Linked DNA regions of Caenorhabditis elegans. The protein of the gene in region 2 interacts with the protein of the main gene of each other region in a pairwise test. Each region holds a gene or a part of one and is shown on either strand. Other genes may lie near its edges.

Region 1 (6,869 bases), 3.2 Mb from region 2:
TGGCTCCGCCCACATTTTTTAGAAACATTGAAGTTTTGGCTCCGCCCATTTTTGTCGGAAAAGCGATATTTTGGCTCTGCCTACATTTTCCCCGGAAAAACTATATTTTGGCTCCGCCCACATTTTTCCTGAAAGAACGATATTTTAGCCCCGCCTAAATTTTCCCCGGAAAAAAACTATATTTGGGCTCCGCCCATATTTTTTTCTTACAAAACATATTTGGCTCCGCCCACAATATTTTTCGAAAATCGATATTTTGGCTCCGCCCATATTTTTTGCTGAAAAATCGAAATGTTTAGCCCCGACCACTTTGTTTTCTTCGAAAAATTGATAATTTTCGGCCCCGCCCCCATTATATGCTATACAAAAATCGATAAATTTGCAGGTCGGCTCATCGGGATCCGGAAAAAGCACACTAATTCGACTACTATTCCGACTTTTTGAATCTACGGAAGGAAGTATTGAATTCGATGGAATTGATGTTCGAAACTATACAATGCACTCACTGCGGCAACAAATTGGAATTGTACCACAAGATACTGTACTCTTCAACGACACAATTATGTATAATATCAGATTCGGACGACCGGATGCTTCAGATGAAGAGGTTATTGAGGCGGCGAAGGCAGCAATGATTCATGAAAAGATTACCTCACTGCCTGAAGGATACGCGACAATGGTTGGAGAACGTGGGCTGAAGCTTAGTGGAGGGGAGAAGCAACGTGTCGCAATTGCCAGAACTATTCTCAAGAAGCCGCAGTTCATTTTCTTGGATGAAGCCACGTCGGCGTTGGATACACCGACAGAACGGGCGATTCAAAAGTGTTTGGAGAAGCTTTGCAAATCACGTACCGGAGTTGTGGTGGCTCATCGATTGAGCACGGTTGTCAATGCTGACCTTATTCTTGTTCTTGATAAGGGCATCATTTTGGAGAGGGGAAAGTGAGTTTATTGCCCGTAGATCTGGTTCTACTGATTTTGGGATTCCCCAGTGTCTTTGGAGAACCATTTTCTTCCGTGGTTTTGTTTCTATCGGTTTTATGATCCCAGGAACCTGTTTCTAACAGATTTAGTATTCCCCCTAACTTGCGAGATCTTTTTCCACCGTTCTTGTAGTTCACTCCAAATCGTGAGATCTCATTTCCGTCGGGAATCTGTTTCTACCGATTTCAGGGTGCGCACTTATGTACTTTTTAGATCCTATTTTCTCCGGGAATCTGTTTCTACCAATTTTAACACTCCCAGTGACTTACGAAATCCCCTTTTTCCTTGTGAATTTGTTTCTACCGGTTTAATCGTTTTTGTGAGGCCTCCAAATCAATATCAATCAATAATAGACACCATCCGTTTCCACCAGCTTCAAGATTCCCTTAAATTGCGAAGCGAAATTCTCCGGAATTTTAGTTCTACAGAATTTTAAATTCCGAGAGGCCTCACACGGAAAATTTAGTAAAAACCCTAAACTTTTCGGGAATCCGTTTCCACCGGATTTTGGATTCCCTATATTTGCAGGCTCCGCCCACAATTCCACAAAGTTTTTTCCGGTGGACACAGATTCTCGAAAACTGAAAACAATGGCTCCGCCCAAAAAAATGGACCGGTTTATGACACCTCACGATTTGAGGGAATATAGGGAATTTAAGTTTGTTAGAAACAAATTCATAGAGACCTCACCATTTCCGGGAAATGTGATATCGGTGGATCCAGATTCGCGGAAAAATACCCTAATTTTTGTCATTTTTCAGTCACAAGGAGCTTCTTGCACAACAAGGCACGTATGCCTCAATGTGGGAAGCACAAATCGCCGAGCAACGTGCCAAATCGATTGAACTCGGCGAGGAGCTTCCGTAGATCTGATGCCCCCGATTTTCCAATTCCCATTTCAGTACTAAATGTTTGTTTTGCCTGTTTTTTAGGGATCTCTTTCGTATTTTTGAGCATTTTTTCATGTTTCGAATTGATTTATTATTCTTTTTTTGTATTGCTAGAAAAAAATTAATAAATTTTTGAAAAAGAGTAGAGAAGCAAAGACAAATGTACAGCAAAATTCAGGGGGTGAAATGTGTGAGAGGACCCGAATGAACAGGTGTCAGTAGTAGAATTACAGGAAAAATTTAAAAATTATTGTCAATAGAGCGCGGTTTCAATTTTTTTTTTGGGTTTTTTCTTTTAGTAAAAATTAAAAATTAGAATTTTTCACGACAGCAAATCGATTTTCTCAATCGGCTCGGCGAGCAGCTGCTCGACACCATCGTCGTGCACATCCTGATCGTCGAGCTCGTCGCACTCGAGCAGCTGAACGCTATGGCACACGGGATTCGGGCATTCGCGGAGATCATTGAGCGCAAGGATCAGAGGATGCTTGCCGCATGTCACTTGCACTCGGCCAACACATTCGTAGCCACATCTGGAAATTTCTTATGTTTTAAAAGCTTCAGAGTTTTTGCTTCAACGGATTCCCCGAAGAAGCGGTTCCAAAAATTAATTTGCATTTCAACACATTCTTGGAAAGGTCGAAACTTAATGCTAACCTTGGTTAACTGGGTATAAACCAAATTGAGTAGAAATTGAAAGGAAGATGACTCCCCGTGTGTGCCGACATCTCGCGGGTTCCGCCCACCACTGTGTTTAGCGTGTGACTGGAAGGAGTTTGGGGGTAAATTGGGGAAATTAAGCAAAAAGTCTTAACTTGAGTGGTTTTTTCATATTTCTTTATAGATTTAATGTTGATTTAAACCGTTTTTAATTAAAAACTGCAAGATTTAATCGAAAATTCCCATTTTTGAAGCGTTTTTAGCAAAAATATTTTTTAAATTGATGGAAAACCTAAGTTTTCAACTGTTTCCATAAATTTTCTGAATTAAAACAATAATTTAACATAATATTCATAAATTTTCGTCGGGAAATACATTTTTTCCAATCTTCCAATCAAAATTAGCCAAACTCCTCCCACTCGCACGCTAAACACAGCGGCGCGCGGAACCCGCGAGATGTCGGCACACACGGGGAGTGACCTCTCCTTCATTTTCTCATATCGTTGGTTTTTACCCAGTTAACCAAGGTTAGCATTAAATTTCGACCTTTCGCAAGAACGCGTTGAAATGCAAATCAATTTTTGGAACCGCTTCTTCGGGGAATCCGTTGAGGCAAAAGATACATACCGTTTACAAACTACATGTGTATTTTTCCGATCACAAATACACTCCTTCTCATCAGATTGTGCAATCATCGGAGCAAACGCGTTCGGGCGTGACATCGAATACTTCTGTGGACCGCCCTTGACGATACGTGGCGATGAGACGGTCAACGTCGGTGACACAATTCCATTGTTTGAGCTCATTGAGGACGAGGAGCGTGACGATGGTGTCGACGATACGAGATGAAGGTCTCGCGGCGAATTTGGGTACTGTACTTGGTATGATGACGTCATCACTGGCGATTTACGTGGCGGTGGTGACGATTTTTTGTTTGATTTCGTTTGACGATTGGATTGGGGGGACTTCTCCTGGAAAAATTAATTTCGGTTGAGAATCCGAATCTTGAAAATTGTGGGCGTGGCCTAGGAAAGCCCCGCCCCTTTATTGGTAGATTTTTAAGCACAAAAATATTTACGGTCGAAAAATTAGATTTTTTTTTAATTAAAAATTATAATACCTTGAGAGAAGAAGGCGGAGCCGAGATAACGGTATCCATAAGTGGGCGGGGCTTCTGCTTCTGTTGGGCAGAAGTTTGAATTGGCTGCAAAAATTTAGGTGACTTGGAAGGAGGAAATTCGCCGAACATTTTCGAAATTGGAAAAAAGGGGCGGGCCTAATTTTTCGGATTTTCTTGGTGTAAATTTTGATGAAATCTATTGATTTTATCTTAACACGGATTTCTGGCTTCCCTCATAAATTGAAATGGAAGAGTTTGCCGAACTAGGCCATTTTGGCTCGGCCATATCTGGGGTAGATTTACGGCGCGTTGCGTGTCGCGTCGCGACTCTTTTTTAGTGTAAAACTAAATGTATTCGTCCGTGTCGAGTACACGACTTTCCCACGCGTTGTCCGGCAGGCGATTGTCAATGGAGCGCGAAAAAAATCAACGAGGAAGGCCAGAACCCCGTGATCTTAAGTCGGCAAAATTTTGTTTAAAAAACGTTTTTTAAGTTAAAGAAATATAGGCCATTAAATTCCAACCTTTTCATTTTTGTCGATAGTCGTTGGTTTTGATTGCGGGCCGCGACCACACTCGAGCAACTTCCTAGGCACATAATAGGCCTGTGTTGGGCGCTGAGTGCTGAAAAATTATATTGATTGAGTTGTGAGAGAAAAAAAAAATTTTTGATTTTTTTTTTTCGATTTTTTCAAATTATCATATCTCTGCTGAAGTTTGAGATATGAAAAAGTTGTCAACTACTAAAATGTAGTAAATTATGCAGAAAATGTTACTATATTATCAATTTAATCCTATATTTAGTTTTCGAAGAGTTATAAGCTCTCGGAGCAAGAGCATCATTTGCACATGCGAAAAAAACTGGTTCGCTCAAAACCTTCATATTTCAAAAACTGGGAAAAATATCAAAAGTTGTCAACTGACAAATTGTAGGAAAGTTTATTTACTACATTTTATTAGTTTGCTATTTTTTGATAACTTTATTGGTTTTTTAGATTTCAGTGTTCGAATTTTTAAATTATAAATTTTCAGAATTTTTACAGTTTTTTTAAGAGTATTTGTTTCAATAGTCATAAGAGGTATAAAAAAGTTGTCAGCTAAGAAAATGTAGAAAGATAAATTAACTACAAGTTTTTAGTTGACAACTGTTTAGTAGCTCAATTGGTTTTTGAGATATTGCGGTATAAAGTCAAAATTTCAGAAAAAAAGTTTAAGCTGTATCAGACTGCCATAAGAATTTTTAAAAATTTTTCTGTAAAATATTTTCAAAATATAGTTCCTAGATATATCTAAAAAGTAATAAAACATTTTTGGAAATTCAAAATTTAAAAAAAAAAAATTTTCCAAATTATTTTTTCAAAAAAAAAAACAAAAAAAAACAAACTTGGAGTGTGGTCGCGGTGTCGCTGTAACGTCCATTACCTGAAAATTATGAACTATATTTTTTAAAATCAAATTTAGAAGCAAAATGAGGTGCAAGAAAGAGTTGCAAAAAAAGAAAAAAAAGGGATGTAGAATTTTTGAAAAATTGATATCTTTTTAGTGATAGAAGGTACAAAAAGTTGTCAACTGATAAGTTGTAGAAAATTAATTTTTTACAGATTATTTCTTGTTAAATTTCTGATAACATTCAAATTGAGAAGGCCTTGATTTGATTGATTTGATTTATTTTCAACATTAAGAGCCAAAAGGTAATACATTGAAAGGTAGTACAATTTAAGGTTTAATGAGAAAATAAATTTATAAAACGAGACAACCCCAGCAAGAGTTCATCTCGAGAAATGGGTGGGGTACAGAAAACAAGAACAATAAAGAATAAAAAATATTAAAGAAAAGAAAATGGACTCGAGATCATAGATTCAATACCGGGGAATGGGAAGATCGAGAAAGTGAGAAAATTGAAAAGTTTTTGAGAAGGCCTTACTTGTTAATAAAATATATGAGAAAATTCAAAAAGAAGAATTTTTAAAAACTGGTATATAAATTCAGCCAATAAAATTATCAAAAAGTTGTTAACTAACAAAATATAGGAAATTTTATTTTCTACAATTTGTCTATTGACAACTTTTTTGCGCCTCCTATGGCTGCAAAGTTATAAGCGTTTTTCCCAATCCCCTGCCGCACAATTACAGGGCCCGGAGAGGCATGAAGCATTTATGGGGCGAGTTGAATGTAAAGACGGTTTCTGATGAAGATGATGGTAGGAATAGATAAAAAAGTATATGGAAAGATTAAGAGACACAGAGAATCGAAAAAAAAAAGAAATGGCGATAAGAATGGCGGCCGAGTGGAACATGTGTGTCGGGAATATGGAATGCTTGGTGACGTGGCAATATCTGATAAGAATCGGTTTTTTTCGCAGGGAAAGTGTGAAACTGTCTGGGAATTGATACAATAGATTTTTATTTTTATTTTTTTAGAGCTAGGAATAAAAATTTGAATTTATGAGAAAGTTTTCAGAAAAATGATTTTTTGAAAATTTGAAATTTGTCCGAGAGGAGTACACGGCAGACGCACAAACTTAAATTTAGTCCTCGCAGAGTCGGTAAAATTTTAATTTAAATTATTTGATTTTCAAAAAGTTTATAAAATCGAAAAAAAATGTGTTTAATTTTCCAGGAGGAGTACAGAATTTTTAATTTTTTCCATGGAACACTGAGATTTTCAGATTTAAAATACAGCTAACTCATCGATTTTTCAACCAAAAATTTATATTTAAAAATTGAAAATTGCAAATTGTCCACGTGAAGTACACATGCAGTCAGTGGAACATATTTGCAATTTTGAGTTGCTCCGAAAACATTTATAAACCAGTTTTAATACTATGAAATTCAAAATAGAATGTTTTCCGAACTTTTTTAACTTGGCGGCTTTACGTAGTCCGAGAGGAGTACAAAACAAGATTGAATTTTTGAAAATTGGATTTTTATAACGTTAATTAATTGTTTGTTAATGTAAATTAATAGGAATAATCAATTAGTCAAAAAATTAAAAAATTTTGGTTTTCATCCAGTATAGCATTTTTTTAATACGTAGTAACACTTTAAAAAAATGCAAAAATCTGTACTTACTTGTTGTAAAATCCGAATTAAAATTGTCACAAAAAAGTAATTAATCCAATCAGGTGAATGAAAATGAAAAGAAATCAAAGAGGTAATCAAAAATCAGTGATTGATTGCAATATTAATTCCTAACATGATATAAACAATAGTGTT
Region 2 (10,473 bases):
CTGGTGGTAGTGGTTCTATCCGTCGAGCACGATTCAAGATTCTTAAAAATGATAACAATTAGTTGATGTAAATAATTTTAATAGAATACCTGTTATCCTCCGGAAATGGCTGTTGTTGTGATGTGGATGGATCGAGATAGTAAAAAAGAATAACAACATCAATGAGCAACCAGACGATGGAAGTGGCAATGACAGCACGACATACTGCCGAACGACCACCGCCCACACTCAGCATTCAATTACTCTGAAATTAGAGAATGATTAAAAATTCAGGGGAAAAAAGAAGATAAATTCCGATCAAAATTATTTAACAAGGCTAAATTTTCTTGAATAGTACTGGAAAATTGAAAACATGATAACTTTTGTGATAGAGAATACAAAAAAATGGTTTTAAAAATTCAAATAAAAATATTAATACGTGTCTATTTGAACACGTTTTATATCAAAACTAATAAACCGTGAACAAATTTTTTAAAATTTTTTAACAATTATTATTCCAACAAGCAAAATATACGAGAAGCACAAAAATAATTAAAAGACAATAAAACTGAAATTATCACAGAATTATGAAACTAGAAAGAATAAAAACTGAAGAGAAAAGTGGAAAACTGAGCAAATATTTTTGAATTTTCAGAGAAAGACTACTAATCGGCAAAACTGAGGAATTATGAAAATATACAATATTCAAAAATTAGAAAAAAATAAAGCACAAAATTGATTAGAAGCTTTGTAATGAAGACGGATCAGAAAATATTCAAATATTTCTGCCAACAATATTAATTGGTGTTGGAACAAAAGTAAGAAGTGACTGTGAATTGGGACTTGGAATTGGTGCATTTATTGGAAGAGCCAAACCACACGCGATGAGCCAGTCACCAATATCTCTACCACAACAAGATAAACGAGCTTCACAGGTTGGAACAGCTGGAGCATTTAATTGTTTCCATTGAGACCATCCAGGCTGAGTTGGTTCAACCTGAAATAATTAATTTGCATTTGAAAGTATTCTTTTCATGACTTACCACAACAGGTTCACCACATGCTGCTTCAAAGAATTCTCGAACAGCTTCATGTGACTCGCGGCTCCAAACTTCTCCTCCAGCAACTGGTTTGATTCCTCCGATTTTACACTTGAACATCAGCATTTTTTTGAATGGTGACGTGGAGTTGAGACGTCGCATTGCTTCTTTTCGCACGTATTGGAAAGCGCCCACATCCAGAAGATATACACAATAGGCTTGTTTGTCTGAAAAAAAAAGATGGACATTTCAAGGAAAAAAGGTATAATACTCAGCAAGATTGTAGATGTTTTGTTTTTTTTTTTGGGAAAAATGTGCGAAAAATTCAGATATACTGAGAAACTCACAATTGTTTTATTTACTTTTTCAAAAGTGCAATTTTGAACAGGATATTTAAATTTTTCCAAAATCACAGTTCAATATTACAAAACTATTTTTGCAATTTTTTTCAAAGTTACGGTATTCGGTCTCGACGCGACAAATTTATGTTGAATGAAAAGATGTGTGCGTCTTAAAGAGTACTGTAATTTCAAACATTTTTACGAAAAACTATAAAAATTCCAAAGTAACGAGATCTTTTGATTTACAGTACTTTTTAAAAGCGCACAGCCTCTTGTATTTAATGAAAATTTGTTGTGTCGAGAACTGGTACAGTAATTTTCGAAAATTTTTTTTTCAAAAATTTCCTGGTACAGTAAATAAAATAATAAATAAATATACCTACCAATTTTACTCGCACGAATACACTGAACACGTTCCCAACGATCATCGATAAAAGCCGCGTAGAATCTAAATTTTCAAATATTTAGCTTAAATTTTTTCAAATCAAAAAAAAAAGTCTCACCCTCCAAAATCAGGAGAACTTTCCAGTTGAGAATCAGGCAGAGCACATTCGTCTTTCAACTTTGCATACATATAATCGGGCATCGGGTCTAATGAAAGTTGCCGTAATGAGATGTCCGTGGGTCCTGCAGCGAAAATTGCATTTGCTGGGAACGCTGACATCGGCATTTGAGCAACGGTCATTGGTTGGATCTGAAAATGTTATTCTAAAATTTCTAAACATCAATAGAAGATATTTACCGTCGCAGGTTTGTCAAAAAGACATGTCAAACTGGATGTTGAAGCAGAAGCCGGAGTAATAGGTGAAGTTGTTTTTGTTGGAGTACTCAATCGAACAACTCCAGATGGTTTTTTAAGAAATTCGGTAATTGATAAGCCATCAGAACTTTGAAGATCTACAACTGGTAAAGATTCGGAGTCTGAGGAGTCAAACTTTGAAAGCTGAAAAAATATTCGTGAGATATTATACTTGTAAATAAATATTACTCACTGTTAGATTTATCGGAACCTGAATTCCATCATCTTTTGTCTCGAATGTTAAATCAACAAATTTATTATTCAACCTCAATGATTCTTCTTCACTGACATCCATACGAACTTCTCGAGCCATTGATCCGACTGAAAATTCATTGAAATTTTAAATTAAACGTGAAATTTATAAATTGATTTCTCATACTTTTTTATATTTTTTTTCTTGGTTAATACACGTTAGCAAAAAAGAAACAAAAATCAAAATTAGTATCACTTTTTGAAGATGTTCAGCGCTCTTTTTCTGTTAGCTCTAGTGGTTTTGGTGAGTTTTTAAATATTTTTTTCAATTATAATTTTTTTATAATCCGACATTTCTAGACCGTTAACGGGTTCGATAGGAAAGTACACAGTTTCGCTTCGGATGATGATTTGAGTATTGAGTGAGTTTGAGATACTTCCTTTTTTGAATTAACCTAACTGTTTTAGACATCTAAAAGATCATTACGGGAACAAGATTGAAATCGAAAAGCACACATCATCGAAAGATCGAAAGTTTTATTATTTTAAAGTTGGTGACACCAATCAGGATAATCATTTGGATGGTGTTGAACTCTTCAAAATGATAACGGAACACTCGGATGAGAAAACTAAAATGGATGTAGAGATGATTGAAGTACAAGCTGATCTAGTTCTCAGGTATTATTAAGACGCACAAAAAGGCGTCTTTATTAGAAATTGAAATGATAGAAATTGAAGTGGAAGCGCGCTACACTGCCAAATAAAAGTGCTCCGCCCACGACCCATAGGTCTCGTTAGGTATAATTTTCAAGCATTATACGCCTGTTTTGTTATGTTTTCCGTTAGCTTTATTGATTTTGAAGTTATAAAAAAACAATAATAAAAACAAATAACTGCTTAAAAATCGGCGAAATTAATTGAAAACGTTTTGCCGTCAAATACCTAACGAAATACGTGGATTGGGGGCGGAGCGTTGTCAATTGACCATACATCTCGTTTCCATGTCGATTACAAAAGGGCTCTCATCATCGATAATGATATTTCAAAAATATACATTTTCAGCGAACTCGATAAAAATGGAGATGGGATGATCAGTTTCAGCGAATATTCAAAGAAGTTCTCATAGACTCGAATATTGCTTTTTAATTTTACTCTATAAATTAACTTTCTACCTATTTTTGTGATTATTTTTAGATTTTAATAAAAATTTAAAAAAACTCACTTGACATTACTGGATGCACAGCAGGTGGTAAGAGTCTTATCGCCGCCACAGGGAATTTCTCACAGACGCCAACATCCACAAAATGGCACATGACTTGTCCGGATTGTGGTGGCTGCTTGGCAATTACACGAAACCATGTTCCATTCGAATCTTGAAGGGCATAAGCTCCACCAGCCACAATTTCCTGTAATTAATGAATACAGTTGTCTCATTTATGTAAAAGTACCAGGGCTGGGCATTTTTTGGATTTTTCGAACCAAAAAGGCAACAAAAAACCACTTTGGAACTCCAAACGTTTTTTGTAGATCTACAAAGTATATTTTACAAGTTTCGGGTTTTTTATAGTTTTTAATTCGTTATCCGAAATATTAGTTTTTGAATTCTTTTATTCATCTTTGTATGTTTATCAAAAAATATTTACGTTTTTTAATTGTTTCAACAACTTCAATTTTTTTCTTTTTTCGTCGGAAGCCAGTTGAGCACATGAACTTACATAAATTGCAACTCGACTATCGAGTGCCGATGGCGGAGTTTCTTGAGCATAAATCTCAGCGAGCGTAGTTCCAATTTTTTCATACTGATCGTCATCCGCGAGAGCTCGAATAAAGAATCTCTTTGGCGAATCTGCATAGACGATTGACACAGTTGATCCTTCTTTTAGAGCGACAGATTGTTGAGAAAGCTGAATATTAAATAAAATTGATCTTAAAAAATTGAATTTAAAAAACATACCGTTTTTGCATGCTCCGTTGGCTCATTCTCTTTTCTTTGTTTAATTTTTTTCAACTCATCCGCAGTTGGTTCTCGATCCGTGGAAATGACTGAATAAGTATTGAATGTTTAAATGTTTCAAAAAGAATACAAAATATTTTTAGAAAACATTTGGTGCAGAACAAAAAACAAATTACGAGTGAGTATATAATTACACAACGATTAGAACTCACTGAAATCGGAATTCAATTCCTCCATATTCGAATTAAGGTTAGAGAAGACAGAGGGGGCGTGGTGTTAATGCGAATTGGGCAAGCTGAAAGTAGGGATTAGATGAAGCATCAGCAGCAGGAGGCTTTGGATGATGGGATCAATTTCATGCAATGAAGGGATAGGCTAAGCAAAGAATAAAGGGGATTGGACAGTAAAGAGGTGATGTTAATTAAGTCGTTGAAATGTGAGTATATATTAGGTTGGGAATACTTATGACCGAGTAAATAAATAGAAGAATTGGCGGGAATTTTTAATTTAATCGTTTGTAATACTGTTTGAACAGGTTCCTTTGATTTAGCAATTATTTACTTCATCACTTTTGAAATAATCAGAATTAATTTCTAGTATATTTTTTTTGAAAAACGTGAACTTCATATTGTAGTAATTTTTTACAACAGTGGTTTGTCAAGGGACGTTTTCCTTTTTTTTTAACAATTTGTGTTTCAAAAAGCTATTGATGAGGTAAGAATTTTGTTTCGACGAATCTAAAATAGTCTTAAATTAAGAAATATCATTTAAAAAATCAAAAAAGAATGAAAAATTATACACACTTTTTAACCTATCAGACAGATTTTTCATTTCTTGTCGATTTTCATCATTTTTTCGTATTTCATGATTATTTTGAGTAATTTTAAGTAAACCCCTCATTTTCCGTTTTTTTTGCAGTTTACCCAATGAAATAATCGAATGGATTTTCTTGGGATCCATCCTGTTGCTCACACTTTTCTCAATAATTATGGGTGGTTATTTGACAATGCGGATTAGGAGGGTATTTTCTTTTTGAATTTATTCAGTTAATTCTAAATATTTTAGATGGGCGGATTCAATCTGAAAATTTCATACAGGCCACCGGATTCTGAAGCAGAAACTAAGAAGAAGAAAAAGCAAAAACTAATTATTTGATTTTTAAATATTTTTCGAATAAAAATAAATTAGTAATTTTACTAGTAACACTTCAAACTAATAATTTAGGTCGAGGGACAAAGAGACATAGAAAGGACAAGAAAAGGACAGTTATTCTGTATGTGTGTCCCCGTTTTCCGACAGCATGTTCACATAATTGTTATTTCTTTTCACTTTTTGAGTGTCTATTTAAATGTATTCAGAATGTATTCATTCACCTCGTACATTTACTGAATTTATGGGTGGTCTTTTGAACGATGATGTGTTTGAGAGACGGACGAACAGTATGGTGATGGGGCCGCGTGTCTGGAAATTGCTTTTTTTGGAATAATTTTTTAGTCTTTATTTCTCGAAAAGTAGCGGTTTTCATGAAAAATTACGATAATGGGTCTCGGGACGATTTGAAATTATTTGCGCTACAATATGTGAAGAGTACTGTAGTTATGACCATTGAAGTCGTTTTTTTTGTTTTTGTTTGTGTCGTACTCGTGTCGTACTCGTGAATGGCGCACACTCTTTTAAGTTTTCAATCGCGTCGAGACCGGGTACCGTAATTTAGGTGATATAATACTTTTGATAGCTTAGAATATACCTGAGCTTCAAACTCTTCTGCAGCAGTGACTTGCTGAATCCAATCTTCGGGAAGTTCACGTCCAAGTCCTTTTGAAACAAATCTGAAAACCAAAAAACTTTTGAATTTTCTAAAAAAAACAGTAATTACTATCAAGAGCGCCATCGAAAATTTTTCGCTTTTTCTAGAAAAATATCGACAAATCGAAAATTTATCAAAAATACATAGATTTTGATATTTTAATGATTAAAAAATAACATGTATTTTTTAGTGGTGAAACGATCCGGAATTATTAAAAATTTGATTTTTTTTTTCGATTTTTCTTTGAAAAAAACATTTTGAAAAATATCTACAAAAAAAACCTACTCCTCATGATATTTTTCCGAAAGATGAGTTGCTGCAACACCCATTGGAAAATTAGTTTTGATCATCTCATATAGAACTTCTCGAATCTCTTCCATTTCTTCCGAAACATCCATGTCCGAGTTAACTGAAACCATTATGATGATGAAATGTGACTTTTGAAAACAACAAAAAAAAAGTAGAAAATCGGAAAAATTTTCGGATTATTTTTGTTTTCTGTTTGAGTGTGTGAGAATTGTGATGTTTTTGTAGTCCGACAGAAAAATCAATTTTTCTGCCGGGAAAGAGAAAAACGAAAAAAATTTATTTAGCTTTTCAATACTTTGTTGATTTTTTCTTTGTGATTGTTAAAATAACAAAATTTTTGCCTATTTATTTTTAAAAAGATTTTTCATTTTGATTTTTCATAGTTTCTCGTTTTCCAAAATTTTCCAACTATTTTTTAATTTTTTTAGGTTTGCTTCAAATTAAAAAAAAATAGACCGTAATTGCCGAATAAGCCTGTTAAAAAATTTAAATTATTTTTCTAAATTTGTTTTTCTTTAATTTTTGGTTTGAAAAACTGATGACAACCTCCCATTTTTGGAAAATTGAACGAAAAAATCGAAAATTCAATGTTTATTAATTTTTTGTTGAAAATCCCTGACATTACTGACAACTTAAACGTTTTTTTTTTCTGAAAATTGAAAAATCTATTTTTAAAAATTCAGGAATTTTTTTTTAATTTTTAAACGTTTTCAATTAACATTTTTTAATAATTTCCTCTGCTGGAAAATGCTTTAAAATTTGTCATATTCACCAGTTTTATTTTTGTAAAATTGAAAAAATCATAAAATAATTTTTTTATCAGTCATATTCGGTCATTACTGTCCATTTTGTATGATTTATAGAAAAAAAAACTTACTTCGATCAAAAATGGTAGACGGCACCAAACCATTAACCGCCGACATGAATTTTGCAGACGAAGATGATGACGTGCCATCTGGCGGTGTTGTCATCTGAAAATTGAAAGAAATATGGAAATAGAGGTATTGCTTGGAGAGAATGCAGAATGCAGAGGCAAGAAATCGAAGCAGTAATTCGAGAAGGAGATGGGGTGAATCAAGTGGGGGATTAGATGGAAAAGAAGAAGAAAAAGGTGGTGAAGACTTGTCACACACTCATACTTTCTTTATGCAATGTGTATCTGGATTGAATTGTGAAACAATAGAACAATTTTATAAATTTTTTACAAAAAAATTGGTATTTTAGCGCCAAAAAATGCAAAAAAAAAATCCTTAGTGTACTTCAAACATTTTACATATTTTCCAAAATATTTTTTTGAGAAATATGTTTTTTAAATGACTTTTTTCTAACAAGTATTTATTTTTGATATATTTTTCAAAGGTTAATTTGCTAGAATAATTACAGTTAGAGCGCAAACTCAAAAATGTTCAAGTATCGAAATAAATCCAAATTTGACTTTTTTTGTTTCTCGAATTTTTCTTGTCTCAGCTTTGATTGTCAGTTAACTTTTCTTAAAAGAAAACAGTAAAAATAAATCAATATAAAAAATTGGGGAAAACACTCAAAAAGTTGAGTTTGTCTTGACGTGGAAATGAACGGAAGGCAAACATGGACACGGCCCTTGTTTGACACTTTCTTTCGCAATTTCTTCGCCTGACTGTTCATTGTGCATTAGAACAAAGGTCGAAGAGTTCATTGATCCAGATCTTTGGCGTTTTTTATTCGCAAAAATATAGAGAAGATTACTGATACTATAGGGTCAAAACCACTTCTATTTCAAAAAATTTAGAATTTAAACAAATCTTCAAAAGCCAAAAAAAAAAAAAAAAAAGAAATACATTTCCTGTGTACCAACTGAAATCACAACACCCTATTCCACGTGTGTGAAAGTTTAACTATAGACCAGGAAAAACTACATCGACACAGACTGTAAAAGGAAGGAATTATATATTCGGTTGCTTGTCTCGTTGTTCCCATTGTTCCAACGAGGAGAGGGAATAAAAAGTGGCAAGAAAGAATGAGATTTGTTATTATTTTATTATTCGAATGTGAAATGTAGGTGGATAAAATAAAAGTGGTGAAATTCAAATATATCTGAATAATTCAGAAAACTAATTTCTAATACCAAGCTGGTCCACTAATCAATGATAAGCAAATAAAGTGAACTGTTAAGACAATACGGACCGCATGGGAAAGTAAGCAAAGCAGAGCTATACTCAGAGAGACGCAGACACATATACAGAACACAGTACATGTAGATGGACACGTCGATTTTCTTTTCCGTTTTGCGCCAAATATTCATCGGATGAGAACGGGTGTTTAGAGGGGAAGACAACGGAAAATATCACAGGGATTTCGGAGGGAGAAGCATTGAAGAATATTGCAAAGAGCTTATGTTTGTACAGGCGGACAGAGACTATTGCAGTTGCATCAGTAGATACAGTGGAAACATTTTGAAATTAAAATCCACGTGGGAAATCTAACAAAAATTAGAAAATATAACTTTTTTCCACTTCCACGATTTTCAAGGAGGTGCATTTATTTTAGAATGGTCTCGCCACGCATTGCGAACTAACCTAACAAATTAAGGCGCGCCTTTAAGATTACTGATTTTGTTAGCAATTCTTTATCGATTTTTCTCGATTTCCAAACATAAAAATTGGATTTTTTCCGATTTTCGATATTTTCGGCTAATATATACAACTAAATCAAAAGAATATAATAAGAAAGAAACCGGCATTTTGTTGGCGATTCTAATCTAAATGTTCGTGCGATTAGGGAAAAGATGTTTTATGAATTTATTGCGTGTAAGAAAGCGGGTAGACAAGGTCGAACAATTTATAGAGGTTCTTCCCTCCGCCACGTTTGGAATTAGTTATGAGTGGAGGTCACTTTAAACTGGAATTGGTTATTTTGAAAAAGAATTATGGAAATCTCGAAAAAGTTAATAAATTCTTTTTCAGATTTTTTTAAAGTTAATAATGAGAAGTAATTGAAAATTGAATAAAGATTAAAATATGAATAATGAAAATCGAAAATCATTATTTCAAGAATTTCAGTAAGTATAAAAATTCAAATTATGAACTTATTTATCAAAAAAAAAAGGACCCGCAAATACATTAAACAATTTAGACACCTCGTCGATTAATGGATAGATCTTGATGTGGAGTTGTGACAGACATCGGACGAAAGTTTATTGCAATATTTTGAAGTTCAGGGCGAGTCTGTGGAATTTGACAGGAATCCTGAAACAAAATTTTTAGAACACAAGTATGACGTTGTAAATACCTTACCAATGAAATATTTTGATATGTGGGCGTTTGCACTTGTCGTGAGTGTGAAGTTCTGAAGTTTCAAAATTAAAATAATAAAAATCAGCTTACTATCAGAATTAAAAGTTTGATGTTTATCAATAATTCCAGAATGTTTTATGCTAAACTTTTCGGCACTTTTTTTGTAAACTCACAATTTTCTGACTAACACGATTGGCCGTTTGAATTTCAAGTTGGCGAACTTCATAACTTCTACTTCTGCTTCTCTCTCCCATTCGTGAACTCGATCTTTAGTTACCTCTGGCTGCAAAATGTTTTTTAACCTTTTCAATTCTCAAAGATAAAATAAATACTCCATCTCTACATATCAGAAAAATTTGTTTGAATGCTTCTCGGGCGGCTGTCTCTTTTTTGGGATCGTATTCCTTGAATAGCTGAAAATATATAAATTTTTAAAAAAATGTTTATATTGCTCCATACCGTAACTTCATCTTTCGGATGTCTTGTACTCAAATGAAAACGACCTTCTTCTTCAGTGTAAAATCCATCTTTTTTACAATGAAAACAACGGTAGGGGCGATATCTTAATGTTTGAAGTTTTATGAATGCTCAAAAATTTTATTTACATATTTAGTTAAATAATTTGAATTGAAATTCTTACTTTAAATGTGTGCAGAGAACGTGATATTCGAATCCCCTCCAAGTTTTAATAATCGCGTTGCAGTGACAACAATAAGGCAATGCTTTGTGTTCTAAAATGCAAATTTTAAATAGTTGAATTGAAAAAAATTAAACTCACGA

What was found. Proteins that work in one complex are often made in the same cells at the same time.
Region 1: the proteins of tag-250 (region 2) and W09D6.5 interact in a two-hybrid assay, tested with the Caenorhabditis elegans proteins (one large-scale study listed by BioGRID).

Annotation. Positions count from the first base shown.
Region 1 is NC_003281.10:11,086,694-11,093,562, reverse strand, and holds W09D6.5 (uncharacterized protein), read right to left. Parts: upstream 5,077-6,869; 5' UTR 5,074-5,076; coding exon 5,039-5,073; intron 4,279-5,038; coding exon 4,179-4,278; intron 3,739-4,178; coding exon 3,655-3,738; intron 3,506-3,654; coding exon 3,162-3,505; intron 3,152-3,161; exon of another isoform or gene 3,040-3,151; intron 2,554-3,039; exon of another isoform or gene 2,442-2,553; intron 2,408-2,441; coding exon 2,197-2,407; 3' UTR 1,941-2,196; downstream 1-1,940. Other genes in the region: hmt-1 (Heavy metal tolerance factor 1), read left to right, coding at 386-942, 1,746-1,851.
Region 2 is NC_003281.10:7,917,524-7,927,996, forward strand, and holds tag-250 (Putative protein tag-250), read right to left. Parts: upstream 7,399-10,473; 5' UTR 7,393-7,398; coding exon 7,299-7,392; intron 6,522-7,298; coding exon 6,398-6,521; intron 6,135-6,397; coding exon 6,053-6,134; intron 5,767-6,052; coding exon 5,679-5,766; intron 5,497-5,678; exon of another isoform or gene 5,461-5,496; coding exon of another isoform or gene 5,371-5,460; intron 5,327-5,370; coding exon of another isoform or gene 5,224-5,326; intron 5,020-5,223; coding exon of another isoform or gene 5,015-5,019; exon of another isoform or gene 4,984-5,014; intron 4,601-4,983; coding exon of another isoform or gene 4,530-4,600; exon of another isoform or gene 4,518-4,529; intron 4,395-4,517; coding exon 4,306-4,394; intron 4,256-4,305; coding exon 4,067-4,255; intron 3,758-4,066; coding exon 3,574-3,757; intron 3,568-3,573; exon of another isoform or gene 3,478-3,567; coding exon of another isoform or gene 3,414-3,477; intron 3,030-3,413; coding exon of another isoform or gene 2,820-3,029; intron 2,774-2,819; coding exon of another isoform or gene 2,712-2,773; intron 2,656-2,711; coding exon of another isoform or gene 2,617-2,655; exon of another isoform or gene 2,600-2,616; intron 2,481-2,599; coding exon 2,353-2,480; intron 2,304-2,352; coding exon 2,103-2,303; and 12 more. Other genes in the region: gly-3 (Polypeptide N-acetylgalactosaminyltransferase 3), read right to left, coding at 1-41, 90-235; C29E4.14 (EF-hand domain-containing protein), read left to right, coding at 2,617-2,655, 2,712-2,773, 2,820-3,029, 3,414-3,477; C29E4.17 (Spiroplasma plectrovirus-related protein), read left to right, coding at 5,015-5,019, 5,224-5,326, 5,371-5,460; C29E4.13 (C2H2-type domain-containing protein), read right to left, coding at 9,529-9,645, 9,694-9,745, 9,867-9,976, 10,026-10,106, 10,153-10,255, 10,334-10,424, 10,472-10,473.